Linked DNA regions of Ovis aries. The protein of the gene in region 1 interacts with the protein of each later gene in a pairwise test. Links are inferred from orthologs where the notes say so. Each region holds a gene or a part of one and is shown in the gene's direction. Other genes may lie near its edges. The genes, in order: DAZAP2, BAG3, BATF2, UBXN6, TENT5B, UBASH3B and ROR2.

Region 1 (4,465 bases):
TTTCACTTTCATGCAGTGGAGAAGGAAATGGCAACTCACTCCAGTGTTCTTGCCTGGAGAATCCCAGGGACGGGGGAGCCTGGTGGGCTGCCGTCTATGGGGTCGCACAGAGTCGGACACGACTGAAGCGACTTAGCAGCAGCAGCAGCAGCAGTTGTGATAGGCAGAGTAAAGGGATAAGAACAAAACAAAACCAAACCACTGATTTGGGAACCGGGGTGGGGGTGGGGACCAAGATAACACACCTGACTTTGTAACCTGTTCACTGTGTGACTTAGGGCAAATCTCTCATTTGAAAAACAGAAATGCTTAAACAAGCCCTGCCTGCCACACAGGGCTGTTGTGAAGATCTGTGATGACTCCATAAAATCATGCATATTAATGGTGTCCTGCAAACTGTAATTTGACACTGGAGAGAAAAACAGCGGACTGCTGATGAAGTGAGTACTGGTCTTTTCAGTGGTTTAAGTCATTCAACAGCAAATATGGATCAGGTTGCTAATGTTTACCGAGGGTTTTTCTTTTCAAAGCTTTCTTTTCAGATGCTTTTCTAATGTTCTTCCTACACTACAGAATGTAAACCATGAGAAAATAGCCTTGGGCTGTCTTGTTCAGCTCCATCTCTGTACCTGAACACAGCAAGCGTTCAGCAAATATCTTAAAGAATGGAAGCAATTGTTGCCTTAAAGGATGGCATCTTTGCTCTTAAGAACGATTAAGTTAGAAGAGAAGGGATACACAGAGAAAATACCTATCAGGTACCATACAGGTGTCTGTGACAGGTATCAAAGTAAGGGCCAGGGCATGGGTACTCCTTGGGTACCAAGAACATGCGTTTTAGTGCTAGCTGTTGCAGCGGGGTGGGGCGGGGCACAGCACAGCATACCCTTTCTGTCGGTGAGAAAGCGACACAGAAATAAAACACCGACAGCCTATCGGTAGAATAGAAAGGCAGTGAAGACTTGAGTGAGGGGAACGAGAGATAGATCAAGGGTTGCGAAGCATCTCAGGCAGTTAGGTAAGATTGTAGAAATCTATGTCCCGTGTGTGTGTGTGTGTGTGTGTGTGTGTGTGTGTGTAGGAATCTATGTCCCGTGTGTGTGTGTGTGTGTGTGTTAGTTTCCGGTTCGGTCCATGGGAAATGGCAACCCACTCCAGTATTCTTGCCTGGAGAATCTCATGGACAGAGTCGCACAGAGTCGGACTCGACCGATGAGACTTAGCAAGCATGCATGCCCCTTGTAGAAAGGCTGTCAAGGTGAGGTGACCTTGAGGTGCTGAACGTAGGTGGAAAAAGGTTCCAGAGAATAGTTTAATGTTACTGCCTCCGAGCGTTCAAGAGAGAGAAGATCCCGTTTTGAGACAATACCTGTATTTGGTTTTCCTTCAGCCGAGGGACAAGGGTAGGGGTTGGAGGACCAGACCCGGTGGGCGGGGCCTACGCGAGCGGACGGGATCACGCGGGCCCTCCCTCCTGCAACCGGCGGCCGGGCGAAGGGGCGGGGTTTCCGGTGGCAGCGGCACTCGGGCGTCGGGTGACGCTAGGCGGACAGATCGTCACGTGACACGGAAGTGACTACGAACAGGAAGAGGACGAAAAAAATAACCGTCCGCGACGCCGAGCCGAGCCGGACCCGCAGCCACCATGAACAGCAAAGGCAAGGATAGGGGGTGGCTGAGGCCGCCGGGGGGACTAGTGCTGGCCCGGAACGAGCGGGCCCGGAGCCCAGGGTCACCGAACGCCAGGCCTGGGGCGAGGTGCGCCGCGCTCCTGAGCCAGCTGCAGTGCCCGGGGCTGCGCCAGACACCTTCGTCATTCCCGAACTACGGCCGTTCGCTCCCTCACGGCCCTTTCTCCCTTAAACTCTGTGGCGCAGTTTGGAGCTGCGGACTCGGGTTGGGGGGGGGCTGTTGGGTGGGTGGGTTGGGGGGGTGGGGAGAAGGTTTGTCGTGATGGGCATCTGTAGGAGCAAATGGGGAGCTGGAGGCGAGATTTGGGTAGGCCAATGGAGAACTGGCAGAGGCGGGGCGCCGCGCTCCGGAACCACAGGCAGGCCTCCGGGCTTAACTAGTAAAGTGCCGCTCTGGTGGGCGGGCCAGTCGGGCCCGAAGGGGGTCTCTTCCCCCTTACCCTCGCTGGCGGCCAGAAAGTCTCCCGGTTTCTGTGTCAGAACATTCCCTTCAGCCCCCTCCACGATCTCAGCATTCACTTCCACCACTCACTCTTTTCATTTGGAAGTCGACCTTGAGTAGGAACCTGTGAGGTCGATGACCACAACCACCGTTACTCACGAGGTCTTGGTCAGTTACAACCAGACCTTTGGAGACCACGCAGGACAGGGAGACAGGACACACCGTTGAAATACCGGCTAGAGGGGATGCCCAGAACTGCCCTGCGTTCTGAGAGGATCTTGGGCCCAGCTAGACTTTCCCCTTACAGCAGTCGGCTACTGGATGTCCAGTTGGAATCCAGCTTCTTCAGCTTTAAGGGTGCAACGAGAATGCTTATTTTCTTGGCTCCAGGAATCAGGCCCTCTAGGGCAGTCTGTTTGGAAATCTCTTTTTGCTTATCCCAGCTAGATTAGCTACCCAATATGCCCTGCTTTGTTTTGGTGACTGTATGGTAGACAACATGCTTTTTTTCCCCCCTTGTCTTCCAGGTCAATATCCAACGCAGCCAACTTACCCTGTGCAGCCTCCTGGGAACCCTGTGTACCCTCAGACCTTGCATCTTCCTCAGGCTCCACCCTATACTGATGCTCCACCTGCCTACTCAGAGGTGCTTCCAGTTAACTTAATAATGGAATACTCTTGGATCATGTTTTCGGTCCTTGGCCAAGTCTGGCTCCACACATTTATTTACTTTCCACAAACAGAAGAGAGTGCTCACATGAATCATCTTAAAACGTGACATAGTTCAGCCATTTCTTTTGGGTTTGAGAAGGCATTATCTGATTGTTTTATGTTATTTGGCACTGGCTGAAGTTAAGAAGATGAGTTTGCATTCCCTGAGCCTAACATTAGCTATAGCAGGAAGTGATCCAGGAGAATATTGAGTGGCAGTGGAAAGGCAACTTGTGTAACTCAAAGAGTGTAATCTGCACAAGGAGAATTAAGACTTGACTCATTAAATTGAGATCTGAAATAGGAATGTCATGAAGTAACTTATTGCCTTCTCTTCTGCCTCTTCTAGCTCTATCGTCCGAGCTTTGTGCACCCGGGGGCTGCCACCGTCCCCACCATGTCAGCTGCATTTCCTGGCGCCTCACTGTATCTTCCCATGGCCCAGTCTGTGGCTGTTGGACCTTTAGGTTCCACAATCCCCATGGCTTATTATCCAGTTGGTCCCATCTATCCACCTGGTTCAACAGTGCTGGTGGAAGGAGGGTATGATACAGGGGCCAGATTTGGAGCTGGCGCTACTGCCGGAAACATTCCTGTGAGTATGACTTGGTCACAAAAAAGCTCGACCCTTGTGTATTTTAACTTTCTGAAATGACTGGTCATCCTTTCATCATCCCTGGGTAATAGTTGCTGGTATTGGTGTAATAATCACTGACGTCCAGTAGTCAGGCAGAAAGCACTCAAAGGGGCAGGAGAACCGTGGCCAGTCAGTAACATCTGGCGTACTCACTGATGTTAGAATTTATCAGATTCCTTTGTTTTCCTGTCTTAGGAGTCCTGCCTGCTGCTTTTCCAGTTCACTTTGATACTAGTTTAGTAACACTCCTCATTCATTCCATAAGCATTTATTTATATGTGCCATCAGCATGGCATCGTATTAGGAACCATGACGATTAAAAAAACAATGCATAATCCCTATTAAATTGCATTTAGAGAGATACTAGGGATTTTAGCAATGTCTCTTGATTAGTTCCCCTATGTATGGGAATTAGAGCCCATATGGTCCTTGCTAGGACCATCTACTCAATAACCATAGGCTAGGGATGAAGTGAAAATGCTGTCATCAGGTAGAGCCTTCAGATTATCCAGGGCCATTTGAAAACTGTCAGGCCCTGTGATATAAGTCCCTGGACCTGGTACCCGCTCCGTTTTGGGATGTGAATAGGAGTGATTTTCTGCACTGAAAATGCCAAGTCTGGACTTCCCACACTTAGAAGGTATCCATAGGCTTTATTTTGGATCCAGAACCCTTTAAATGAGTGGGTTTCCTGTTTATATCTTTGGCCTTACAAAGAATGTAGACCTGCTGGACTCAGATTGGTGGCCCAGATAGCTCTTTGAGATGCCGCTGGTTAGCACACTGCCATCTTCCTGATTGGTCCTTTTTCACCTTTGTCCACTTCCCTCCCATAGCTGCCCTCTGCCCAATCAACCTTGTCTTTTCCTTTCAGCCTCCTCCCCCTGGATGCCCTCCCAATGCTGCTCAGCTGGCAGTCATGCAGGGAGCCAATGTCCTCGTAACTCAGCGGAAGGGAAACTTCTTCATGGGTGGCTCAGATGG
Region 2 (4,560 bases), on another chromosome or scaffold:
TTTTCCAGGCAAGAATACTAGAGTGGGTTGCCATTTCCTTCTCCAAGGGGAACTTCCTGACTCAGGGATCAAACCTGCATCTTCTTGTTGGCAGGTAGATTCTTTACCTCTGTGCCACCTGGAAAGCCTGACATAGTACAGGGCTTAAACATCTCTGTGTTTTCACAAAGCTGAGTTTTTGTACTTCAAAGCTGGTAAGTAGACCTATGTAAGTGAGACCCCCATTCCATTGAAAATGATTGGCAGTTCTCTTCAGCATTTGCTCTAAAAGGAGTAATTTGGGGGTGGGAAGAGACTCCAAAAAAGTGTTTCTGAGGGTTCCAGAATGTCCTCTGCATTTGAGTTGGAATATTGGGCCCAATATTACTTAGCCCAAGGCATCTTCTCAAAAATGTTTCTGGGGAAGGGAATGATCCTGCAGGCCTAAAAATCTAAAATGAGACCTCCCAACATACCACCTCTGGGGGCATACTTTCTCTCTCTCTCCCAGAGGAAATGAGGTGCTTGGTGGAGGTTACAAGTGCAACCACCATTTCATTACACAAATTTTTTTTCATAATTTGTATTCTTTCCTACTTTTCAAAGGGCTTCCCAGGTGGCTCAGTGGGTAAAGAATCCGCCTGCAGTGCAAGAAACATGGGTTTGATCCCTAGGTCGGGAAGATCCCCTGGAGAGGGAAATGGCAACCCACTCCTGTATTATTCCCTGGACAGAGGTGCCTGGCAGGCTCCACAGGGTCGCTAAGAGTCGGAGGTGACTGAGCACGCATGATTTACACTACTTTCCAAATGAAGGTCAGATTAAGATAGCAAGAACCAACTTGCACCATCAACAAGCCCCAAACCCCAAAGAATGTTTTTTCTTTAAAGTTCTTCACTGCAACGACAGAGTCTACGTTTAAGACATGTGCTTCAGCAACATGCATGCGCTGATGCAATCTTTCTTTAGGATTCGAAAGAAAGGCAGGTGAATTTCTATTTGTACTTCCATTATTCGCCCTGGCTTGCTTCTGGTGTCGGATCAACATTCCAGAGCCCTTTCCGGACGGCCCTTAAGCCCATGGGGAAAAGTGATTAACTGAGGGTCACCAATGTCCCGGAGTATCAGTAATCTGGGGGTACAAAGGCGAGGTGGGAGAGACTCTAGTTTAATCCCCAACGACTTAAAAGGCTAACGATGAGTTTGTTTTTACACGAAGGAGCCAGTCCCGGGAACACCCACGCGGCTCGAAGAAGACCAAGCAAATCTGAAAACCGAAACCGGCCCAGGACACACAGATGACGTCCCCGGGGGTTCGCTCGACCTGCCGCTCGGCGACACAGGGATCCCGCGGATGCAAACCCCTCGCCCAGCTCAGGGAAGACTCCGCCAGGAGCCCCCGACCCGGGGAGCCGCGAATAGGGGGAAGAGGTGGCGGGGTGGAGGAGGGGCGGCCGGCGGAGGCCCCGCCCACGCCCCGCCCACGCCCCGCCCCGCCCCGATTATAGCTGATGACTCAGGGCGGAGCTCCGCATCCAACCCGCGTCGCCGCCAACTTCTCTGGATGGGACCAGAAGTTTCTAGCCGGCCAGTTGCTACCTCCCTTTATCTCCTCCTTCCCCTTTGGCAGCGAGGAGGCTATTTCCAGACACTTCCAGCCCTCTCCGGCCACGTCACCCCCTCCTTTAATTCATAAAGGTGCCCGGCGCCGGCTTCCCGGACACGTCGGCGGCGCTCCCGACTTTCCGCTCCGGCAGCGGCCAGCGAGCGACCCTACACCTGGAGGTCCGGCACCCCGCGACCCCGTGACCCGGCACCCCGCGACCAGGCACCCTGCAACCCAGCACCCCGGCGGCCGCCCCTCCGGGCCGACCCCGACCCAGCATGAGCGCAGCCACCCACTCGCCCATGGTGCAGATGGCGTCCGGCAACGGCGCCAGCGACCGCGACCCCCTGCCCCCCGGCTGGGAGATCAAGATCGACCCGCAGACCGGCTGGCCTTTCTTCGTGGACCACAACAACCGCACCACGACGTGGAACGACCCGCGCGTGCCCCCCGAGGGCCCCAAGGTGAGCAAGGCCCGCGCCGCACCCTTGCCAGTGGCTCCCCCTCCACCTTCCCCCCAGCCCCCCATCGACGGCCAGTCTAGGGACAGGGCCGGGCGGGGGCGGCTGGACTGGGCCCGGCTGCGGGGACGCAAGGCGCCAGGTGCCCGCCGGCCGCAGCCGGTGCCTCGGAGGTCAGTGAAGGCCGCCTGGAATGCACGGATCCCCAGAAGGACGCCAGCTCCCAGGGGGGTCGGCCTGCTGCGCCCCCCACGAGCCCACTCTCCAGGCCCGCCCTTGGCCGGCGTCTGGGCCAGTTTGGGGAGCTTCCCAAGAGGACTGCCCTCCCTTGGCCGTGTTTGGTTTCCGGGGGTCGGGCGGGAAGCGGGACCCGCGCGGTGGCACCAGGTCCCGTCCACCGGCTCCATTCGAGGGGCCCTGGGCCAGGAGACGACGGGTGGCCGGCCTGCTCAGCACCAAGGCCCGGGCCAGGCCCTGCCACGGTCTCCACCCGGCTTCCAGGGCTCAGATCCTCCTTTCTCTCTGCTGACCGTGCTTTGGCAGACGCCAGGGGACCGTTGGCAAGCTTCTGTGGGGGTCCTTTAGGGTCTCTTAGGAATTTTACATCCTCAAGTTCCTAAACTTGGTTGAGGGTATCTGGAGTTCACTCTCCCACCTCAGGCACAGAGTGACTCAGGAGACTGATGTAAATGCATTCCTTTTCTTTATTTTTTCCCTTCTGTATTTGAAATTAAAACTCTATTATTGTTTGAAAGTTGTCCTCACTAGGAATATATTCTAGTATGACTTGTTAAAAATAAGATGCAATCTTCCAGGCAATTTCTAAACTGAAGATGTGAGACTGTCTCCTAGTTGACTATTGCCTTAGATACTGCCTCACCCTGGTCAGAAAGAGATTAAAAAAAAAAAAAAATCAACACATTCCCTTTCTCGTTATGCTACTAAAATATTTAGGATTTTTTCTTATCCCCAATACACAAATAATTTAGTAGTAATACTTTTGTATTAGAAGTATGCCTCATTTACATATACGCAGGGGTGTATATACTACTTAATCCTTAGAACCATGAAAATTTGAAAATATAAACTTGGAATGAGTCTGTTAATTTAAAAAATTATAACTAATTGTACTGCTCTTGTAATTTTTATAACTTTGAGCTTTTTCAAAACGTAAAGCTTGGCAAAAAGAAATAGTCTGGGCAAAATAGAAGACATAAAGAGCTGGTAAGTTATTTTTAAGATTTAAAAATTCACAGAATTAAAAATGTTTTATAAACCATTGTTTTAGAAGAAAAAAATCTGTGTTAACCATCTTCAGTTTTATGCAGCTTTTTCCTTTAAAATATTTATGAAACTCTGGTGCCCAACAGTGAGATATTGTATAATCAGCAGCTTATGCTTATGAGAAATTAATTGTATATTTATTCCTGAAAATTATTTCAAGAGGCTGTAATTAGCTGGGATCGACATAACCATGTATTCCTTTCGCTTGTCTGTTCAGCCCATTATTGAGTGAAACTAAAGCTCATTTTAAACCAGCTCTGTTACTGCAGACTGCAAGGGTGTAGATCTTTACTGAGGCCAAAAAAAAAACCAACCTGTCTTTTTGAGGCTTCCTTCCTATAGAGACAGGAAGAGTCAGAATCCACTGGCGTCAGTGGTGGTGAGTGTAGGTCAAGTAGGAACGTATCCACTGTGAGTTCAGTGTACATGCCACATTGTTGGCGCTTGGTTTTCAACGTGAAACTCACCCAGCAGGTTGAGATCTTATGTATGATGGATGGTTAGGCTGTGGTTTTACAAACTTTTTCAAGGCAAGGGGGCGGGGGGAACAGGTTAAGTTACTGTTATTTTTCTCAACAAGTAGAACATAAGAGCTAGTAAATCAGAAGTTTGATGCCATAAAAGTTGATTTGAAAATTTAACAGAATTTTAAAGTTGAAAGATCGTTTAAGATCTTTTAGCTCAGCCTCTCTTTTTCTGAGAAAGAAACCCAGAGAGTTCACATGTGTTTCCAAAGGCCATTCAGCCAGGACCAATAGCAAAGAGAGACCTACACCGGAAAGTCCTATTTAAGAGGCAGTTTATTGTTCAGAGGAAGGTAGAAGAGTCTTAAATTTCTTAAATTTCTATGAAATTTAAGTGTGAACTGGGAAGGCTGGAGTACTTGATTGTTTTTCTGCCCTTCTGACTTTTGTGACTACTTGGATGGTGATGGCTGGATGTGATCAACTCAAAAAAAGAGCTGCTTACCAAATTAATTGAGATTTCTCAACGTGGCACTAGAACATAAGGAGAAAACTAACATTCACTTCGTTAGCTCTGTGGGCTTCATGGCTTTCAAGACTGTGCTTTGATGTACACAGAACAACTATGTGACTAATTCACTTTAACTTCTGTGAATGACACCTCACTCCAGAATAAATACAATGGAAAATAAATACAGTGGAAACTCTTTCAGTCAGTTCAGTAGCTCAATCATGTTTGGCTCTCTGGGACCCCATGGACTGCAGC
Region 3 (4,207 bases), on another chromosome or scaffold:
CCTATCCATGGGATTTCCCAGGCAAGAATACTGGAATGGGTTGCCCTTTCCCTCTCCAGGACCCCAGAGTGTAGCTAATAATACTATCACAAGACAAGTGTGTTCCCACAGCTGAAGCAATGATATGTCACAGACACACTGAAGTCTCTGTGGGTCCCCTTTAGTCCCTCTCCACCTCCACCCCCAGCAAGCCACCACTCTCTGAATTTTGTGTTTCTGATTCTCATGCATATTTTTATACTTTTCCTACATAATTACACCCGTATTATTCAACATTTCAGAAATGGTGTTATTCAGATCTGGTTACCACTTGTCATTTTCTTCCAAGTGGAAGGAATGAACTTTTAGACATGATGATACACGCAGCTTTGAGTCTTCCATCGCATCACAATTGTGAATATTTGTTGAGCCCTCGTTCTGCACCAGGCATGCTTTCAGGTGCCTTCACATACGTAACCTTAGCAAAAAAATTATCTTTGTCCCCACTTAACAGATTTGGAAACAGAGGCACAGAAAGGTGAAATAATATACCCGAGTCACGTAGCTTGGGAGCTGTGCTCTTAACTGCTAGACGTCACTCTCTCTACTGCTGCGTGGTCTGTTGTATGAAAACACAGTCATTAGCCATCTGTTCGTCTATTTAAGGGCCGTTGCTTATTTTTGCAGACTTGTCTCAACATTATTAGTCTCACAGCGTTGGGGGAGGTGGTCGTATTATCTTGCTTAGTCCCTACATCAAGCCTGTGAGTGGATATCTATATCATCTCCCGTTACAGATGAGGCAACTAAGGCTCAGAGAGGGTAAATCACCTTCTCAAAACTGCACAGCTCCAACGAGCCAAAAGTGGGCTGTGAACCTGGCTCCTGCAATTGTGGAGCCCAGGGATGCCCCCACATCCCTGGTGAGCCCTCTGTGCCCCACTGGCTTCTCCTCTTGGCTCTGTCTCTGGCAGCCTGCCCGCCCTCTCCTACAGCAGCCTCCCCACACCTGGCCTTCAGCCCCCCTCCTCTGGCCACACTCCACCGTCCTCATCCCAGAAAAGGGGCCCAACCGGAAGGCCCGTATGTGTTAGGAAATTCCAGCCACGTGAGCCAAGCCGAGCCTGGGATTCTGAGCAGCTGGTGGCTTTAGGAGAAACTGAAACTTGCCTTGTTGGGGGCGGAGTGGTCACCGGGGATTTAAAGAGCTGCCACTTCCTTGGGCCCCAAGAGGGCACTGGGAGGTCACAGCAGCTGAGGGACGCCCCACCGGTGTGAGCCCGTGTTCTCCTCCCCACCATGCACCTCTGCGGGGGCGACGGGCCTCTGACCAGGACGGTGAGTGCAGGGGAGCAGGTTCAGGGGCTAAGAAGGGGAATATGCCCCAGGGTGCCGGGGCCGGCTCTGTTCGCAGGGGCTGGGGAGCGCAGGCCTCACACACCCGTCTCTGGGCCTCAGTCTCCTTAGGGGTTTGGCTTGAGGGCTTTCCTGCTCTCACATTGCAGATCCAGGCTTCAGTTTAGAACTTGGCCTCTGATTACAGCTCTCTCCTCACCTACCTGTCCTACGCTGCCATTACAGGAGCCTCCTCTTTCCTCCCCGAGCTTTCTGGCCACAGCTCCCCTGGAGGCCTTGCCTCTAGTCCAGAACCCAAGTACCAGAGGCTCAGGCCCTTCTCTTATGGCGGGTCTTTCCCCTCCAGGCTCCAGTCTCTCAGTCCCCCAGCACCTGCAAGGGGCCTGCTGTGGCCAGGAACTTAGGAGTTGCAGAGTCCTCAGCGAGGGAGGCCAGGGTCCTGCCTGAGGTCCCCACACTCAGAACACACCTCCCAGAGTGACCTGAGGGAGGGGGTTGTGGGGTCTCCAGTGTTCCCGCTTGTCTGATTTTCCAGAGCCCTGGGCATGTGGGTTAACTATTCATCTAAGCTCATGAACCCCAGTGAAGGGGGAGAGTCACAGCTGTCACCCTCTGCGTCCACTCTTCTGTCAGAAGGGACTCATTCTCTCATTCTAGGCTGCTGGCCCACTAGAATGCAAGTAGCTTGAGGGCAGGAAGTACTGCCTCTTATGTTTGCTGCTGCGTCCCCTCAGCTCAGTGCGTGGCACATAGTAGGTGTGCAAATATTTGTGGGATAAATGAATATCAGCTTTGGGCTTGAGCTGGGCAGGGGAACACAGAGTAGAATCAGAACCACCCCCACTCTCGTCCTCACAGAAGGAGCTCAGGCTAGAGAAATCAACACCTTAACGGTGGAAACAGTAGTGATTAGAACAACAGCAACTTTTATTAACCCCTGCCAGCTTTCCAGCCGGTGAGGAAGGCACCAGTGCCTCCATTTGGGGCAGATCAGGCAATGGGGCTCAGGGAAGTGAATGATCTACCCAGAGCAACACGGTGCATAAGGAGCCTGTAGGTGTGAAGCGGGTTCTGTCTGGGGCGTGTACTACCCCGTCATGAGCTGTGAGTGGTACGGATGTGAGGCTGGCATTCCACCGAGCTGTGCTGTGTTTGTGATGGGGTGTGTGGAAACCGATGGAGCCAGAGAGGGCTTCTGGCGGAAAGGGGACCCTCGGGGACTTGATTCAAGAAGAATATGGCTGAGACTTCCCTGGTGGTTCAGTGGTTAAGTCTCCAGGCTTCCAATTTAGGGGTCACGGGTTTGAACCCTGGCGGCTCCCTCTGCCTTTAGACAGCATCCCAGCTAGACCCTCACTCCTTGCTGGGTGTTTGGCTCAAATGTCACTGCTTCAGTAGGACAAGGTCTTTCCAAACACCTGAGCTAAACTAAGATGCCACAGGCCGCATGGCGCTGACCCCCCAAAAGAGAAGGGAATGGCTTTACAGCTAGCCCGCCCCTGTCGGGCCCCTACAGGACGCTGAGGAGCATCAGAGGCAGCTGAGGAAGAAAGAGAAGAACCGGGCGGCCGCCCAGAGAAGCCGGCAGAAGCACACGAGCAAGGCGGATGCCCTGCACCAGGTGGGGACGCCTCCCTTCCCATCCCCGACGTCACTCACCCGGGCTGGCCACCTCTTCTCTGTCCCACTAATCAGCAGTTCCCTGTAGGTGCACTGCTGTAGGTGCCAGGGGCCCTGAACCTGGGGAGAGAGGAGGGCTCTGCAGCTGAGATTCAGAAATTCCTGAGTGCTGAGCAGAAATTGTGTGCCAGATGCACGCTGGGCTCCAGGGGCATGACAGTGCATTCTCAGCCCAGGCCTGCCCTCAAGGCACCCCCAGTCTAGAGGGAGGAGACAAGAAGTGGAGGGAAACAGGGAGAACCTGGCCCAGTGACCAGGTGAGGCCCTCATCCAAAGGTAGGTCCCTGAGCCCTGCCCATCCAGAACCCACCTCAGAGGTGCTGCACTGCGGCGATCACCCTGCCTGTCGGGGTTCTGATGTGAGTGGCCAAGACCGTCTGCGAGAAACTGGTTCAGGGTTAAGATGGGCTGGCTTTAGAGTCCCAGCTGCTGCATTCCATAGCTGCAGGTCTTTTCCTTCACTGAGCTTCACTGTCCTCATCCAAAAATCCCTGCCCCCTGGCAGGACCCTTGTGAAGACTAAAGGAGGCCAAGGAGCCTGGTGGGGTGGAGGGTGGGGAGGCTCTACTCACACTTGCCTCTTCACCTTGGATGGTAACCTGACCTCAGATGCTAACCTGACCTTGGGGTTTCCCTTCTTCCTCTGTGCAGAAAGGACACACCTCGGGGGGACCGGTAAGAGCTAGGTTCAGGACCTGGCCTTTGGTTGGGCTGCATATGCGATAGTCCTTACTGCAATGAGTAAACCTCAGAGCCCTCCACACCCAAAGGTCCTACGCTCTCTGCGACCCCACCCCCACTGTCCACCTTCCCCTCCCAACATCCTGCACCTCGTTCTCTGTGTTCCTTCCCTGATGGAGCATGTCCAGCCTCAGGGGCTCCCCCGGCTGCTCCCTCTATCTTCAGACAGCAGCCCAGCTAGATCTTCACTCCTTGCTGGGTGTTTGGCTCCAATGTCACCGCCTCAAAAGGAGGTCTTTCTAAACATCTGAGCTAAATAGACCTCACCTATTACTCTGCTTTATTTTTCTGGTTAACACTGATCTTGCATCACAAGTTTAGATGTTGACCATTGCTTGTCTTCCTCACCAGACTGTAAGCACCCTGAAGGCAGGGAATGCTTCTGCTGCCTACTGTCTCCCCATTACCTGGACCAGTGCCTGGCAGATAGAAGGAACTCAGTATTTCTTTC
Region 4 (4,246 bases), on another chromosome or scaffold:
CATATAAAAAATTTTAATAAAAACGAAAACCTATCTGAGATGTTATTTCACCCACAAATACCTCAGAAAATATTTCTAGCTGAAAAAAATTTATTTTTAAACATCACTACAATGTCATTACCATTCTTAACAAAATCAACAATAGCTCCTTTATATCATCTAACACTTGGATCCAATCAAATTTCCCTGGTGGTCTCAAGCAAGCTCTTTTCCTGTGTCGGATTCTTATTTGATGTTACAAACTGCCTCCACCCTCCCATCCCCTCAATCCTGTTTCCCGCTTAATTTTTCTCCATACCACTAACACCATCCACTCCACCATAGATTTTTTATTTTCTGGCTCTCCTCCAATCAAAAAGATCACGAGTTCTTTGAGGCATGGGATTTTGTTTTCTTCACTGCTGGTACAGAAAGGACTCTCAAGAACTGTTCTTAAAGAAGTAAATCTGCAGTCCATGGGGTAGCAAAGAGTCGGACACGACTTGGCGACTGAACAATAACAAAATCATGATAACGTCCGCAATTTATTCAGGGATTTCGAATTGCAGCATTGTCCTCACGACCTCTATGAAGCCGGTGCTATTCGTATACTCATTTCATAGCTAGGAAAATAAAGTTCAGGAAGGTTAAAGTTTGGGCTGCACTTCGTTGAACTCCGTCAGCACTCTGAGGATAATGTCCGATCTCTTTAAGTTAAACCCCTCGGTGTTCCGCCATCGGGGGTCCCCAAGCCCTAGCTCTGTGCGACCCATCCTCTTCATTTTCTCCCACATTGTGTTTGTTGAGGACTATTGGCGCTGACCACGTGACTGGGTCGTGGGGACTTTGCCCCCACACAGAGTTGGGACTTTTTCACGTGACCGCTGGGTAGTCAGGGAAGGTTCTTGAGTAAGTAAAAGGACAGGGCTAGCGCTTTCTCCGCGGGGTCCTCGGCCTGTCCCTCTCCCTCTTGTCTCTCCTTGGGAAACGCAGTGGAAGGCGCTCAAGCACAACCTCCTGGAAGCACCACCTCCCTCTGGAAGCACCGTCGTTGCCCCTGGCAACAGAATCCCGACGAACCACCGAGACGCGCCCCGAGAGTGCAGAGTGGTCACTTTGGGCCAGCAAGACGCAGAGATCTAGAGAGGCACGCTGCGCCGATTGTCACGTGGACTGCCCTCGCGAAGGCGGGACTTCCGGCGGCGGCGTATTTTTTTTCCGGTTGTTGGCTCCTGCCGGCCCCTCCCGTACTGGGCCCTGCGCCCCCCCTACCCCCCCCCCCCGCGCGGCCCCCAGCCGCCGGGCCCCCCGCCACTATGAAGAAATTCTTCCAAGAGATCAAGGCCGACATCAAGTTCAAGAGCGCGGGACCGGGTCAGAAGCTCACGGAGTCGGCGGGGTGCGTGACAGGCGTTGAAGCTTGAGACCCGGGGACGGGGACGGGCGGGTGGGGTGGGGCGCGGGAAGTCTAGGGAAGGCGAGGGGCGTGGAGGGGCGGCTGAGAGAACGTGGGGGACACCTCCGGGGGCGGGGCACGAGGGAGGGGTGGGAGTAGGGGGAGGGGAGGCCTCTGGGGGCGGGGCAGAGGGAGCGAGGCTCGAGGGGGCGGGGCTGCAGGAACTGAGGGGTCGGTTAAGAGACCCTAGTCGGTTAGGGCGGGCGGTAAGGGAGAGGCTAGGGATGCGGAGAACGGCCCCTGAAAAGTCATCGCCTAAGATCTGAGGGCATCTCGGTGATCAGAGGTTGGGGACTGATCCTGGAGAAACAAGAAGAGCTGGGGTCGCAAAAAGTCGTGAAGCTTAAGCTCCGTGGCGATAGAGAACTGGGCCTTGGTTGTGGGGCAGGAGGGTGGCCGGGAGGTGAGGATCCGGAGGGCTTAGGCGTTGTTGGAGGTGTGGCCAGGCTTGGGAGGTGCGGGTGAACTGCGGGGGGGAGGGGGAGGTGAGTGGCGTTGTGAGGGGCTGTAGAAGATCTGGGAGGAGAAGGGAGGCAGGTGGGTGGAGGTGAGGACCTGGGGGACTCCGACTAGAAGGAGATGGGGGTCCTCCTCGTGGGTGATCGCTGAGTGGCCTGAAGGCTCCGGAGGGAGACCTGGGAGGAGAGGGAAGGTGGCCTGCACTTCCAGGCCTCTGTAACTTGACTGGGGAGAACTTGAAGAGAGGGGCCTGGGGCCACACTGGAGACTCCGTGGGGAAGTGTGAGGGGCCAGTGCTGAGCAGAAGATAGTGATGAGCTGGAGAGGTAAGGTGGATGGGCTGAGAAGGCTCCACAGTGGGGAGGGATGAGCAGAAGGAGTCTAGAAGGAGCTGGGATTCCTACAGGGAGCTACAGAGAGGGCTTGGGGGCCCGAGGGGGTTTAGGATGGGGCGTGACTTAAGAAAGTTGTCAGCCTGGGGAGAGGGGGTCTGTGAGGCATAATGGAAGGGATTGTGAAGAGGTGGGGGCTGGGAGGAGAGACTGGGTGGCTGGCAGTAAGGGTTGGTGAGGGAATGCTGAGGCAGTGGGGTGGGTGAGGGAGAGTGGGTGCATGGTAAGGACATCCAGGCATCTGTCATGAGGCTTGGGGGTTCCCTGGGGTTCTTGGGAAGGGATCACTGAGTGGGATGAAGGAGGCCCATGAGGGCCAGATCTGTGAGTCAGGAAAGTGCAGGTCCCGGGAGCCTGGGGGTAGGGGGGTGGAGGAGGACCCCTTTAAAGGGGCCCAGGGACAGTCGTGGGCCAAATAGGGGAGTCCAATCATTTGTCCATCAAGTAGTGAGTGGAGGTGGGAGCTGGAGCAGCTGGGACTGTGTGTGACTGGAAGGAGGTGAGGGCTGATGGTTTTGTCAGACTGGAAGCCTGGAAGGAGAGGGGAGGGAAGTCATGTGGAAATTTGGGCTTCTGTGATGTGCCTGGAGCCAGCCTGGAGACGCAGGGTGTGTGTACAGCTAACTGCCATGGCATGAGAATCCCTGCCCTCTCAGGGCTCCCCTTCCTGTGAGGGGAGGTGGACAAGTAAGCCAGTACATAAATGACGGAAGGTTGGCCATGAAGGGAAAAAAACAAGGTTGAGATTGTCAGCGATGCTGGGGACTGTTAGGTGGTCTGAGAATGTCTCTCTAAGAAGGGGAAGCTTGAGCTCAGATTTAGCCGTGTGGAAATCAACCCATACCATACACACGCATGCACTGTTGAAGTAGCCTCTGTCCATCCCAGGAAGAATACTCCCCCAGAAAGCAGAGTGTGAAGGTCCTGTGGTGGAAGAGCAGCAGAGCAAAGATGGGAGCAAATGAGGGAAAGGGGCAGCTCGTGCAGGGCCTGTGTTTGCAACAGGGTTTTGTCGTTCTTGGGGTGAGGGGGCTGTGTATGCAGAGGAGTGACTGGGTTTTAGAAGAACCCCTCTGGCTGCCAGGATGAGTGATGAAGGGAGGAGGGGGGAGTGAAAGGTTTGGAAAATGGTGCTTTTATGCAATGGTGGGGCTTGGGCAGAGCTATCCATACGTGACTTGTCTGTTCTTCAGCCTGAAACTTTCAGCTGTGGACAGGGTGGGCAAGAGGATCAGGGATCAGAAAAGAGGGCTGCCCTGGGTGTCTGAGCAGAGAGGGGGACCCCGGGGGTGGTGTGTGTGCAGCAAGGCCATCAACGCAGATTCTTGGCTCCCTCTTGAGATATAGCATAGATGATTCCAGCTCCCAAAGGGAGAGTCCTGAGGGAAGGAGAGCAAGGCAGAGTCAGACCTGGGTGGGACGCAGGACTCTGCTGGAATGAGGAGGAGGCCAGGTCATTTCCCGGCTGGGTCAGGGCTGGAGGGTGCCCATCTTACAGGGCAATCACCCTGCTTCCCAGGGTGGAGGCAATATCAAACCAAATCTCTGTAGCCTGCCTCACACAGGGCCTGTGTGCAGCCTGGCATACTGCCCCAGCTTCCATGAGCCTCTGGGGCTTCTGAGAGAGTGTCTGGAGCCCTCGCAGGGAGGAACATTGCCCTGAGGAATAGACATGATGAGCCTTAGCTCCTGGCATGCTGTCTACCTGGCACACAGTTGGTGCTCAGTAGACGAAGTCTGGTTGGGTCTTACCCTTGTAGACAATAGGGGTGGAGACTCTCCCATGGGGGAGGGGGCACACAGTGGGTGTGCTCTCCCCCTGCCTGACAGGTGACGACTCCGAGGCCCAGACCAGGGCAGGATTTGCCCAGAATGGCCAAGCAGGGAACAGAACCACCATCTGCCTCCAGGGGCTCCTCTGTCAGCGTTAGAACCACTGTCTGGTGGCCCCCAGGGAAGA
Region 5 (4,313 bases), on another chromosome or scaffold:
AACAATAAGCCTCATCCCACTAGGCTCTGTAAAGTGGGAGAGAAAAACATGTAAATGTATTATTTCAATAGAACACATGAATATGTTTTGCCAACTATAAATAACCAAACCAAATTAAGAATATATATATTTATTGAGCCCCTTCTCTGGAGTAGATGAGGAAACCGACTTAGATTTAGGGACTTGCCCAAGGCACCAGGACCTGAGAAGCTAAGAGGCTGGCAGGAAGGACTTCCACCTGCTGCCCAGGAAGCTGCTGCCAGAAGACCAACACTCCAGCTCAGGCTTCCCTCCAACCTCCAGCCCTGTGAAGGCCCTGAGTCTGCTCAAGTGTAGTGGAAAGAGCAAGTGCCTGCAGACTCTCTAGTGCAGGTTCAACACCAGGGCCTGTCTCACTTGCTGTGTGACCTTGAGACAGTCAAGCCCCTTCTCTGAGCAGGTTTCCTCATCCCTAAACCAAAACATGGGGCTTCCCAGGTGGCTCAGTGGGTAAAGAATCCGCCTACAAATCAGGAGACCCGGGAGACACAGGTTCGATCCCTGGGTCGGGAAGATCCCCTGGCGGAGGGCATGGAAACCCACTCCATTGAATATCCTGCTTGGAGAGTCACATGTACACAGGAGCCTGGACTACAGCCCATAGAGTCTCAGAGTCGGATACGACTGAAGCGACTGAGCAGGCCCACAAACCAAAACATTAACGCTAGCCAGGTAGAGGTGTGCTCAGGAGAGTACATTACAAAGTATCTACCTCGGTATACAAGTTCGTCACCTTTTCTCAACTCTGGAAGATTGCCTGAGAGCAGGAGGAGCACGGTGTGAAGTCGAACAATTGGCGCAGTCTCTCTGAGCTTCTGAAAATAGTGGATGACTAGGACCAGGCCCAGTGATTTCTAAATTCCTTCCAGTGCAAAAAAAAAAAAAAAAAAAAAGAGCTTAGTGGTCCAATTTCGCTACAAACTTCACAGGTCACTTCCTTCTCGTCTGCCCCTGGAGGGCGCAGTCCCTTTAAATCCAGGACTTGCCTTCGGCCCGAGCCAATCACCGAGAACAGAAGTTCTTTAAGGACCAAAGGAGGGAATTAAGCCGGAGCAGGAGGACGGGCAGGGGTGTGCCATCCAACCAATCGGAATCCTCCTGGCGACCAGTGACTCACGTGCAAAGCTTTGCTGACCAATGGCAGGCGCGTCGAGAGGCGGGGCGGTTCCCGCTGGGTGACAGCTGCTCGGACCAATGGGTGTGTCGCCCGCGGCCTATAAGAGTCCGCGGGGCCCCGGGCGACAAGCTTTAGGGTCGGTTGGTCGTCGCCGTCGGAGGTGTGCTCTGGGTTTGCCTCGCCGTCGCTGCTGTCCGGTCCCTGCGTCCTCCGCGTTGGTCGGGGCCCAGCCGCTCTCCCGGCCCTCCTCCCCTTAATCGCCCCCCGGTTTCTGCCGTCGGGGCCCCGGGGCCGGGCTAATGATGCCGTCGGAGAGCGAAACGGAGAGCCGGGACCGGGCGGCTGCACAGGTGGGGACGGCTGCGGCCGCGGCGGTGGCTAAGGCCGCCCCGGCAGGCGGCGGCCCCGACCCGGAGGCCTCATCGGCCTCCCTCGGACAGCACCTGAGCGGGTTGAGCTGGCCGCAGGTGAAGCGGCTGGATGCGCTCCTGAGCGAGCCGATTCCCATTCACGGGCGCGGCAACTTCCCCACGCTAAGCGTGCAGCCCCGGCAGATCGTGCAGGTGAGAGGCACTGGGCGGTGGATAGGAAGTCTCCATCCTGAGGCTCTCGTGGCTGCAAGGTTCCCGGAGTCTGTTCGATTTGTTGGACAGCTAGGAAAACAAGGCTCGGGGAAGGACAAGAGCTGTAACAAAATCGCGCAACCTTGATGGGAGTCCACATCCTACTACCCCCGCATCTCATAATCTTTTTTCCCCACTTGACTTTCCTGTCCCCCGCCCCTTGAGGAGCCCCGATGGCCCTCGGACCGTTTACCTAGGTCCTGGCTGGAGGGGGCGGGAAGTGGGGAGGGACCTGGCCTGGGAGGAAGAACAGCCCCGCCTGCAAGGACAGGAGTTGCCAGGCAGCCCTGGGTGGGTAGCTTGGGTAGTTTTGCACGCTTGAACCCGAGATAGTTCTTTTCATCTCCAAACCGTCATCCCCAGGTCTCATGCCCAACCCTTTCCCTCTCTTGAGATTTAGGAGCAGATTCTCTCTGTCCTCTGCTCCCACAGCCCACGGCTCAAGAGCCCCCTCCGGAAAGCTGAGAAATTCCAGCTAGGACTCCCTCTCAACTGGGGTTGTGTGGCAGGAAGAGATTAAGCATGAGGCACCTGATGCCTGTGTGCGGGGTGGGGTGGGGGGACATCAGGTGTCCAGTTTAGCTGTTTCTTTCCTTTCCCAAGATTGGAAATGAGGGTTGAGTCTCTGGCCCCAAGCCCCATCTCTCTCCTGAGGGGAAGAGAATTCTGGCAACTCCTTTCCTGTTCCACAGACTCCCTCTTCCCTTTACCTGGCCCTCAACAACCCTAAAATTGCTCTTTCACCTATATAGCCCAGGCACTGTCATGCTCTGAAATACCATAATATGGTAATTACTGTACCTATTTTATAGCTGGGGAAGCTGAGGCCCCAAGAAGGGCCGTGAGCTCCCTAAGATTTCCTAGAGGTGAAAAGCAAACCCAGAGAATCTTTGGTCTTCCCAGGAGCTGGTTACTACAAGTTCAAGGCTTTCCCATTTTTCCCCAAGACTTCCCAAGTTCCCAAGATTCAATTTGTAGGTCTTAGCAGTTAGAAGAAACCAGAAAATCTAGCTGCAATTCCTGCATATTCCTGGCAGCAGATGGGGAAGTAGACATGCAAGCCAGGTAAAGCAGACCACCCCCCATCCCTGGCTCTTCTGTCTTAGCTTCCACAGAGGGGGAGGGTTGCTTGTTGTGGGATTACCTCTCCCTCCCTCTCAAGGAATGGGAGGGGGTGGGGGCAGATTCCCTAGGGTTGAGTCATCAGTGGCGAGGCATTCCTGGGCTGCCCCGCTGTTATGGGGCAATTAGGAACCAGTTGAGGTTTTTCTCCTCCTTGACAGTCAGGTCAAACTTGGGGCCCCAAATGCTATATCCCCAGGACTATTATCCCAGGCATGAGCCCAGTGTGGGAGTTCTTCTCTGCAGGGACTTGGGGTGCCCTAAGGGGAGGTCCCTGCCCCTGTCAGTATGGTCCAAACTGCCTTTACTGGTATGTTCTCCGTGCCAAGCCCTGTTCAGGACACCAGGGGCACAGATGTGACTGAGACCCAGCCCCCTGGCTTTCCAGCTACTCCCATCCAGGTGGGGAAGACTGCAGGTCAATAGGAGCTGACTCTACAATGTGATAAAAGTACAATGTCTCCTAGACTAGGGTCAGAAATACACAGACCAGGGAACTGCCGGCTGTTGGGGGGAGGAGGACAGTGGCGACTTAGAGAGTTGGACTGGAAGGCTGGACATCTAGTTTCAGGGCCTGGACCATTGTCAATTCCCTTTGCTGGCCCTGTGCGTGCGAAGTTGCTTTAGCAAAGTCCAACTCTGTGGAACCCTATGCATTGTAGCCCACCAGGCTCCTCTGTCCATGGGATTCTCCAAGCAAGAATACTGGAGTGGGTTGCCATGCCCTCTTCCTGGGGAATCTTCCCAACCCAGGGGTCCATCCTGCGTTTCTAACATCGCCTGCATTGGCAGGTGGGTTCTTCACCAGTAGTACCCCCTGGGAAACCCAGTGTCCCTTTTTGTTCAATGGGGATGGGTTGAACTGCTCTCCATTGCCCCTTCTGCTTCCAGAATCCAAAGGGTCCTTTACGTGGCCTGTACAAATGCCTCCACAGGGAAGAAAGTCCATCTTCTGTCAGGAATTTGTAGCTGGCAGCTTCACAAGCTATTGGGATGTGTGTGTGTATGTGTATGGGGGGCGGGTGGTGGCAGGGGGTCCTGTTTGTGTGTATGTGGTGGGAGATGCTGGTTTGTTGACTTTGGGCTTCTCACCTGTGCTGAGTTGTCCCATGGTTCAAGAATTGGAAACTTTCTCCCTCTCTGCCCCCCAACAAGCTTTGCCCAGCAGTAATCTGGGCATTTAGAGATACGATTCCTGCTTGTACCTGGGCTAGAGGAACCTACTCTCCTGTAGGAGGCCCCCACCCCCACCCCACCCCCTGGAACATAGTTCTGGGAGAACTGACTCTACTTAAGTTCAGCCACTTATTGACTGTGTGTCCCTAAACAAGTCCTCTGCCCTCTCTGGGTTCAGAGGATTGAACTCGTCTCTGATCTCTCCAGCTGCAGCCAAAGGGCCTGTATTAGGTGGC
Region 6 (3,779 bases), on another chromosome or scaffold:
ACTGAGTGATCGGTCCAGTGAGGTAACAGATGTCCAGACAAGGCGAGTGGTTTAGGCAGGGACAGTCAGCAGGTGACGCCTAGGAATCCTCTGAGGTCTCACCCCTCTGCTGTTCAGGTGCTGACTCGTGGGCTTGCACGTGCCTGCTTGTGCTTCACACCATCTCTTCCACGTTCAGTGTGCCATGCTAGTGTTAATGTGCCAAGCACTGGAAATCTAGAGGAAGGACCGAGTTCTAGGAAAAGCGTAGATTTTGGCGCCTAGCACACATGGCTTCAAATCCTGACTCCCTATTTTAGCAGTAGATTTGCTTTTACAGCTTCTAGATAGTAACCTAGTCCTTAGTTCTCTTGGGTGCAACACAGTGATGACATTTTGCTAGACTGTTGGTATGGACTAGAGGGCCTCCCATAAGAGAGGGTGCAGCAACAACAGCAAAAATTGCCACAGCTGTAAAAAAGGCTTCAAAGGCAAAGAGGGTCAGTTCCTATCATCACAAAGGGCTGTACCTGCCCTTCCCAGGGTAGCAAACTTTGAGCTTAGTCCCCAAGTAGGAAGGGAGGAAAACATATTTGAAATAGACTCTAGAATTCTTACAAGTAGATGCTAGACATAAGAGAGTAAGTATCATGTAGGACAAAACTTGGAGAAGGGAATGGCAACCCACTCTTGTCCTTGCCTGGAGAATCCCACGGGCAGAGGAGCCTGATGTGGGCTACAGTCCATGGACTTGCAAAGAGTCAGACGCCAACTGAGTGACTAACACTTTCAGGACAAAACTAGGCAGTGTGTCCTGAGATCTCCCAAACTTGGGCTGACTTTTGCATGCCGTGCAGTTTCGGTGAGCAGGAAAGAACTATGGGGACCTGAGCACCGGTTATAATTTGAGATTTGCTGCAGTACATTGATTTTCTTTATTGCTCATTCGGTAAATCAAAGCTCCTTGTTGTGCAACTGCTCTCTGCCTAGGAGTTGTACCTTCGGCTCCTTTCTGTACCTCAACCTCCCTGGGATCTCGTAGAGCCAGAAGACTCATCCCCAAGTGAAAGGAGGGATGAGATCTTCCCTGTCATTTTTGAGTTTCTCAAAGGAAACGCCTGCCGCTGAGTCAGAGGCATCATTACCCAAGACTGTGCTGCGCTTGAGCATCTAAGGAACCTGAGTTTAGACTTGTTTCCTGTGACTCGGTGCCTCTCTCCACCCTGTTCCAGGAAAAGGAGCATTGCTTCTGGTGTCTCATCACATACCTAGCTTAGAGATTTAAGTGGTTGGTTGTGAATTTTTTTCTTTTTCCTTAAGCTGTTTTTTAACAACCCAGCAAAAAAACCTTCCTGGTTCATTTGAAAATGTAATTTGAGCGTGTATCTGACAGAGGAGTGGGGAGTCGATGGGATGGAAGAAGATCTCGAGCCAATAGATGCTGGAGTGAGGATTCGGAGAGGAAGTGGGTGCCCTAAATAAAAGGGATGTCAGAAATCCAGTGGGGCGTTCGAGTTCTGTGCATTATCACATTCATTCTCTGGTGGGGGGAAATCATTTTTACTGGCTCTTCTCGTTAGAGATTTCCAGAAGGAAATTCTTTATGATATCTGATGGATCACCTTGACCCCAAGGAGCCGATTAGCTCACAGGCCTACCTAGCATAGACTTTGGGGGTTAGCATCAGCTTGATGGAAAGATAACCCCTTGAAAGCCAGGAGTCATGGTTCAATAGAAATAATTACACCTCTTCTGTGTACTAGAGTCCTCAGGAGTTTTCTTAGATTGTCTCATTTAACTTTTATAGTCTAAGTATTATTTTACAGATGAGAAAATGAAATGGTAGCCGCTCAGTCGTGTCCAACTCTTTGTAATCCCATGGACTGTAGCCCACCAGGTTAGTCTGTCCATGGGATTCTCCAAGCAAGAATACTGGAGTGGGTTCCCATACCCTCTTCCAAGGGATCTTCTTGACCCAGGGTTTGAACCTGGATCTCCAACATTGCAGGCAGATTCTTTACCATCTGAGCTACCAGGGAAGCCCCTGCAGATGAGAAATAACAGAGGCCAAACAAAGTTAAAAACCCGTACGTGGGAACCAGAATACTTAGCTTTCCTCTAGTGGCTTCAGGATTGAAGGAAAAGCTGATAAAACAGCTCCGTCTTAGTGTCCTCTTATGAAACACATAGAAAAATATTTCCCTTAGTATTGAGGTCTCCTGCTGTTAACAGAAAAGTAGTAAAATATTAATAGATGTTTTCCAGAGTATCTTCATACGTCTGCCTGTGAGGCAAAATAAATAAGGAGGCAAAATATGGAATAAATCAGACAAGTGACATGGCCTGGGGTTGGCCCAAGGGGCTTTTTCTGAGCCCAAAGAGGGAACACGTGGTCTCCACCTGCTGACTGACAAGAGCTGGTTACACACAGGACACTGATGGCTGTGAAAGATATTTTTCTTTCGAGGTCTTTGTTAACTATGGAGGTTTAAAGAAAGCTCTTTGAAGGCAGGACCATGTCTTATTTGAGCTGCTCAGTTACATGGAGAGGAGACATTTCGTCCCCAAAGTCTTCCTAGCAGAGTCTCTCATCTGGGTGTTGGTGACATTGCATGGAAGACTCCTTTCCATGAGCTGTGTGTCCAGGGTCTCTTATGGCATCAACGTGGCAGACAGAGCAGGGAAAACGAGGTCCAGACCCGTCTGTAAAGCAGTTTACTGGAGAACCTACAGGTTTTCATACGAATTTCTAAAAGCCATGTCTTTTGAAGCAAAGCTATGCCTGAAGGAAAGTCTGGAACGAGCCAGAAGCACTAGCATATCCTGAGAGGAGGAGAAACTCCTTCTGATCTGAATCCAGATCTACGCGGAGCCTGCAGACTCCAGAGGTGCCCGTGAACGCAAGCAGAGCCCACAGGCGGGCCCTGAGCGCTCAGCAGAGCTGGTCAGGCGTGGGCCTCACGCCTCCCTCTCCCCCTTTTCCAGACACTGCAGGTGATCTACCCGTACACCCCGCAGAACGACGACGAGCTGGAGCTGGTCCCCGGGGACTTCATCTTCATGTCGCCCATGGAGCAGACCAGCACCAGCGAGGGCTGGATCTACGGCACCTCCCTGACCACGGGCTGCTCTGGACTCCTGCCGGAGAACTACATCACCAAGGCCGACGAGTGCAGCACCTGGATATTTCACGGGTGAGCCCATGCCGGGCTCTCTGCCTGCTGCTTTTCGAAGGACACTGTGGCCCTTGAGGAGGTGGCGGGACACGCAGGGCGGCAGTGCGTGGAGTCCAGCGCTCTTGGCCCCAGACGTTCAGGGAAGGGCGGAGCTGGGGCACGGGAAGAGCGGGATGCCCCGCTTTACCCCACCCGCCACCACGGCTGGAACATCTGTCAGAGTTCTCCATCGGAGACCAAACAGGCTGCTTAGGGGACATGTCTTCTGGCCTCAGTGTGGGTCAGCCCACCGCCGAGTCTTTATGGCTTTGGGGCTTCTGTGCACTTTGTCCCGGGTCATTGCACAGACTCCCCAGAGAAGCAGGACAGATTCCCACTATGCCAGTCAGCCAGTAGAGAACAGGTTTGCCAAGGTCAGGGGACCTGACCGCCTGACCCAGTCCTCAGACCTGGCACATGAATGCCTGGATGACAGAGACCATTTCTATGGAAATGGGTAACCTCCAGAGGCTGAGAGAGGCAGGCTGGCCCTTCCCCACCCAGGTCTTCTGTGGAGTGCCCCCAGACCAGCCTGTTCCCACGTTGAGTGGCCTGTGCTGTACGACCAGCTTTGTCCTGATGGGT
Region 7 (3,779 bases), on another chromosome or scaffold:
ATTGAACAGAAAGTATAGAGAAAGCTCTGGTACTCGTTCCCCCCATCTCCACATACAATTTTCGCTATCAGTAACGTCTTGTGTTAGTATGGTGCGTTTGTTACAGTTTATAAGCCAGTTCAGTTCAGTTCAGTTCCTCAGTCATGTCTGGCTCTTTGCGACCCCATGGACTGCAGCATGCCAAGCCTCCCTGTCCATCACTAACTCCTGGAGTTTACTCAAACTCATGTCCATTGAGTCAGTGATGCCATCCACCCATCTCATCCTCTGTCGTCCCCTTCTCCTCCCGTCTTCAGTCTTTCCCGCATCAGGGTCTTTTCAAATGAATCAGTTCTTCGCATCAGGTGGCCGAAGTATTGGAGTTTCAGCTTCAACATCAGTCCTTCCAGTGAATATTCAGGACTGATTTCCTTTAGGCTGGACTGGTTGGATCTCCTTGCAGTCCAAGGGACTCTCAAGAGTCTTCTCCAACACCACAGCTATAAGCCAGTCAGTATTGATACATTATTATTAGCTGAAGTCAGGAGGATCCCCTGGAGGAGGGCATGGCAACCCACTCCAGTATTCTTGGCCTGGAGAATCCCATGGACAGAGGAGCCTGGCCAGGCTATAGTCCATGGGGTCACAAAGAGTTGGATACGACTGAAGTGGCTGAGCAGTAGCAGCATGATTTACGATAAGGCTCGTTCCCTCTTGGTGTTGTGTATTCTCTGGTTTGCACGAATGTAAAATAACATGTATCCACCATTAAAGTATCATACAGAGTAGATCCACTGCCCTAAAAATCTCCTGTTTTCCTAGTCACCAACCCCCACCACCAACCCTTTGGCATTCATCTATGTTCTTACTGCTCCATAATTTTGCTTTTTCTAGAATGTCATAGAATTGGGATCACACAGTATGCATGCAGCCATTTCAGACTGATTTCATTCACTTAGTAACATGCATTTAAGTTGCCTCCATGGGTTTTTTTTTTTTTCATATCTTTTCTTGATTGCTCTTTTCTTTTCAGTGCTGAGTAAATATTCTATTGCCTGGATGTGCCACAGTTTTTTTGTTCACTATGGACATTTTGGCTGCTTCCAAGTTTTGGCAGTTATGGATTAAGCTGCTATAAATGTCTCTCTGTGTGTGTTTTGTGGGCTTCCCAGATGGTGCAGTGGTAAAGAATCCACCTGCCAATGCAGGAGACACAAGAGATATGGGTTCACTCCTTGGGTTGGGCAGATCCCCTGGAGTAGGAAATGGCAACCCACTCCAATAGTCTTGCCTTGGAAATCCCATGGACAGAGGAGCCTGGCAGGCTACAGTCCATGGAGTTGCAAAGAGTCAGACATGACTGAGCACACACACATAGGTTTTTGTGTGGACAGAAGTTTCCAGTTTATTCAGGTAGATGCCAAGGGACAAGACGGCTAGCTCACCAGATGCTGGATTTAAAAAGAGAAAAAAAAATCATTGGGGATAATTTCAGTGTGCTCACGGATCGTGTGTTTTTCCCAGAGACGACTACCATGAGGATGGATTCTGCCAGCCTTACCGGGGAATTGCCTGTGCGCGTTTCATTGGGAACCGGACCATTTATGTGGACTCTCTCCAGATGCAGGGGGAGATTGAAAACCGAATCACAGGTAGGAGTGCAGTCCTCTGTTCTGAGACATTGAGCATGCATGCAGCTGCCTGTCGCCCTGCTGGTGTGTTTTCAATTCCATTTGTGTATTTTGTCCCTTACAACCATGGCCAGTGAATCCTTGTGTCATGTCTCGTGCAAGAGAAAATCAGAGGCCTTTATCAGAAGTGGTTGCAGTTTATCCTAAAATATTCCTATTTGTGTATGCAAATTAGCAAGCGCAGTCTGCCTGGAGTGTACGAACACACTGACTTCAGTCGGTTGAGCGGCTCCCAAGCCCTGCGTTGTCTTGTTTCCCTCCACTACCCTCATGGGCAGGCCCGCACCTGTGATGTTCAGTCTTGGTTCTGCCTTTCCTAGCTCTTGTCCTTCTCAGAGTTACAAGGAACCTGGCTTGGGTACAAAGTACCTGGGCCAGATTTCAGCTATTGAGGACAGAGGTTCCAGGCCAACAGCTGTACCCTAGGGACCCTGCAGTGAACTCAGACCCCCACCAGCCCTTGGCTGCTGGGCATAGTCAGGTCTTCGGTTACCTGCTCCAATGTATGAGAAGTGGTTCAGATCCTTTAGGAGTGAACGTGCTCGTTTTCCATCATTTTAGAAGTTGATGTTAAGAACTTCCTGGGGGACACTCCTTGAGAAGTGAGAAAATGAATTAAACCAAGGCCCTAAAAAGCCCTCCCCCTCTGTCTCTGCTCTCCTCACAAACCCCCACATTTTCTCCTTAGAGTCTTTAAGGAACAGGGAGAATCGGGTGAAGATGGCAGGTGACCCAGTTGAACTAGGTTCTCTGCACAGTGATTCTTGACCCAGGCTGATCCCTGATGTGGGCTCCCTGGAGATTCTGGAGGGATTTGCAGAGAGGCTGGCAGAGCACTGCCCTGTAAGAGTACAAAGAGGACCCCAGGTAGAAACTCACGCAGGTGTCACTGAATGTTCTTCTAAGTCCAGTTTGATCCTGGCTTTGTCTTTCACCCTCAGTCTGGAGGGTCTAAGGTCTAACCTGCCTGGCCCATGGCTACAGAGACCCCTGAGGACACGGTAAGGTGTCCAGTGAGAAATGGAAGGGCAGTAATGGGACCCCAAGATCCTGGAAGGGCAGTAATGGTCCAGTGGGCACATGTTTTGAACTTGTTTGTATCTCTCATTGGAAAAGCTCCTTATGCCATTTAAAGCAGAACTTCTTGAACTTTCTGATCACAACCCACAGCATAAAGTATACTTTACATCGTGACTTAGTATACATATATATCTGCTTCATAGAACTGAAATGGGTTACAGGAAACAACATTCACTTCAACAAAGGCAATGCAAGCTGATTTTTCCCTTCAGTTTTATTTCATTAAAGAAAAAACTTGTTTCCAGCCTTAATATAAACCATGCACTCTGACATCCTCTGTTCCATTCTAATCATCGTTTAAAATACTAGCCACAGACTCCAGAATTAATTGTGTATCCCACTAATTGGCAAACACTGATTCAAGGCACAGGGCTGTCTCTCAGTTGTTTCTTCAGGAAGTTTAAAGGATAACAACTCAGATATCAAAGCAGACTCATGTTATAGCATTTTTTAAAGATAAAAGTTTAGAATGAGGGTTCTCTAGATTTGTGGATTTTTGAAAATGTTAAGTGTGAAGTTGCTCTAGACTGACTGATGGTTTAGAAACTGTGTTGGTTGTGGATACAGTCTGTTTGAAGAGAATGCTTGTCAGAATGAGTTCCAGGGACACTGGAAGCTTCCCAGGGATAAGCCCCAGAACCATCAAAGTGATGTGCTGGATGTAAACGAAAACAAGGACATGAGTTGTTGGATCTCTGTGATGCCTAGAACCATCTTATTTCATCACGTGAAATACGTCCTCACCTGATAGGTTCCGGGATTGGGGAGAGGAGCAGTCCTGTAGGGGGTGGTCTTTACATCCTCTTAGTTGATATCCCCAAAGCGATGCCACCTCTGGCTTTCTTAGGCCTTTTGCCGCCTGGGAGTAGAGGCCAAAATTGGTGACAGATCTTCTGGTAGACAGTTGTCAGCTCACATGATGAGACTCAACTGGGTTCGTTTAAACCCAGTTCACCAGCCAACCCTAAGAGACCCTGCACCTCAACCTCTTCCTTTTCTGTTCCGCAATTTTAATATTGGCCAGAAGGG

Evidence for each region.
Region 2: the proteins of DAZAP2 (region 1) and BAG3 interact in binary tests that used the Homo sapiens proteins (3 or more experiments, as listed by UniProt). The two-hybrid records come from large-scale screens. The link is inferred for Ovis aries from reciprocal best matches to the Homo sapiens genes DAZAP2 and BAG3.
Region 3: the proteins of DAZAP2 (region 1) and BATF2 interact in binary tests that used the Homo sapiens proteins (3 or more experiments, as listed by UniProt). The two-hybrid records come from large-scale screens. The link is inferred for Ovis aries from reciprocal best matches to the Homo sapiens genes DAZAP2 and BATF2.
Region 4: the proteins of DAZAP2 (region 1) and UBXN6 interact in binary tests that used the Homo sapiens proteins (3 or more experiments, as listed by UniProt). The link is inferred for Ovis aries from reciprocal best matches to the Homo sapiens genes DAZAP2 and UBXN6.
Region 5: the proteins of DAZAP2 (region 1) and TENT5B interact in binary tests that used the Homo sapiens proteins (3 or more experiments, as listed by UniProt). The two-hybrid records come from large-scale screens. The link is inferred for Ovis aries from reciprocal best matches to the Homo sapiens genes DAZAP2 and TENT5B.
Region 6: the proteins of DAZAP2 (region 1) and UBASH3B interact in binary tests that used the Homo sapiens proteins (3 or more experiments, as listed by UniProt). The two-hybrid records come from large-scale screens. The link is inferred for Ovis aries from reciprocal best matches to the Homo sapiens genes DAZAP2 and UBASH3B.
Region 7: the proteins of DAZAP2 (region 1) and ROR2 interact in binary tests that used the Homo sapiens proteins (3 or more experiments, as listed by UniProt). The two-hybrid records come from large-scale screens. The link is inferred for Ovis aries from reciprocal best matches to the Homo sapiens genes DAZAP2 and ROR2.

What each region holds. Positions count from the first base shown.
Region 1 is NC_056056.1:134,989,132-134,993,596, reverse strand, and holds the start of DAZAP2 (DAZ-associated protein 2), read left to right. Parts: upstream 1-1,563; 5' UTR 1,564-1,645; coding exon 1,646-1,658; intron 1,659-2,660; coding exon 2,661-2,779; intron 2,780-3,193; coding exon 3,194-3,439; intron 3,440-4,355; coding exon 4,356-4,465. UniProt on the Homo sapiens protein: In unstressed cells, promotes SIAH1-mediated polyubiquitination and degradation of the serine/threonine-protein kinase HIPK2, probably by acting as a loading factor that potentiates complex formation between HIPK2 and ubiquitin ligase SIAH1.
Region 2 is NC_056075.1:39,287,543-39,292,102, forward strand, and holds the start of BAG3 (BAG family molecular chaperone regulator 3), read left to right. Parts: upstream 1-1,510; 5' UTR 1,511-1,863; coding exon 1,864-2,049; intron 2,050-4,560. UniProt on the Homo sapiens protein: Co-chaperone and adapter protein that connects different classes of molecular chaperones including heat shock proteins 70 (HSP70s), e.g. HSPA1A/HSP70 or HSPA8/HSC70, and small heat shock proteins (sHSPs), e.g. HSPB8.
Region 3 is NC_056074.1:39,662,196-39,666,402, reverse strand, and holds the start of BATF2 (basic leucine zipper transcriptional factor ATF-like 2), read left to right. Parts: upstream 1-1,207; 5' UTR 1,208-1,278; coding exon 1,279-1,317; intron 1,318-2,851; coding exon 2,852-2,956; intron 2,957-4,207.
Region 4 is NC_056058.1:17,474,361-17,478,606, forward strand, and holds the start of UBXN6 (UBX domain-containing protein 6), read left to right. Parts: upstream 1-1,199; 5' UTR 1,200-1,295; coding exon 1,296-1,378; intron 1,379-1,562; exon of another isoform or gene 1,563-2,220; intron 2,221-4,246. UniProt on the Homo sapiens protein: May negatively regulate the ATPase activity of VCP, an ATP-driven segregase that associates with different cofactors to control a wide variety of cellular processes.
Region 5 is NC_056055.1:239,939,114-239,943,426, forward strand, and holds the start of TENT5B (terminal nucleotidyltransferase 5B), read left to right. Parts: upstream 1-1,282; 5' UTR 1,283-1,455; coding exon 1,456-1,719; intron 1,720-4,313. UniProt on the Homo sapiens protein: Catalyzes the transfer of one adenosine molecule from an ATP to an mRNA poly(A) tail bearing a 3'-OH terminal group in an ATP hydrolysis-dependent manner.
Region 6 is NC_056068.1:33,164,065-33,167,843, forward strand, and holds part of UBASH3B (ubiquitin-associated and SH3 domain-containing protein B), read left to right. Parts: exon of another isoform or gene 1-2,964; coding exon 2,965-3,173; intron 3,174-3,779. UniProt on the Homo sapiens protein: Interferes with CBL-mediated down-regulation and degradation of receptor-type tyrosine kinases. Promotes accumulation of activated target receptors, such as T-cell receptors and EGFR, on the cell surface.
Region 7 is NC_056055.1:26,772,623-26,776,401, reverse strand, and holds part of ROR2 (tyrosine-protein kinase transmembrane receptor ROR2), read left to right. Parts: intron 1-1,503; coding exon 1,504-1,631; intron 1,632-3,779. UniProt on the Homo sapiens protein: Tyrosine-protein kinase receptor which may be involved in the early formation of the chondrocytes. It seems to be required for cartilage and growth plate development. Phosphorylates YWHAB, leading to induction of osteogenesis and bone formation.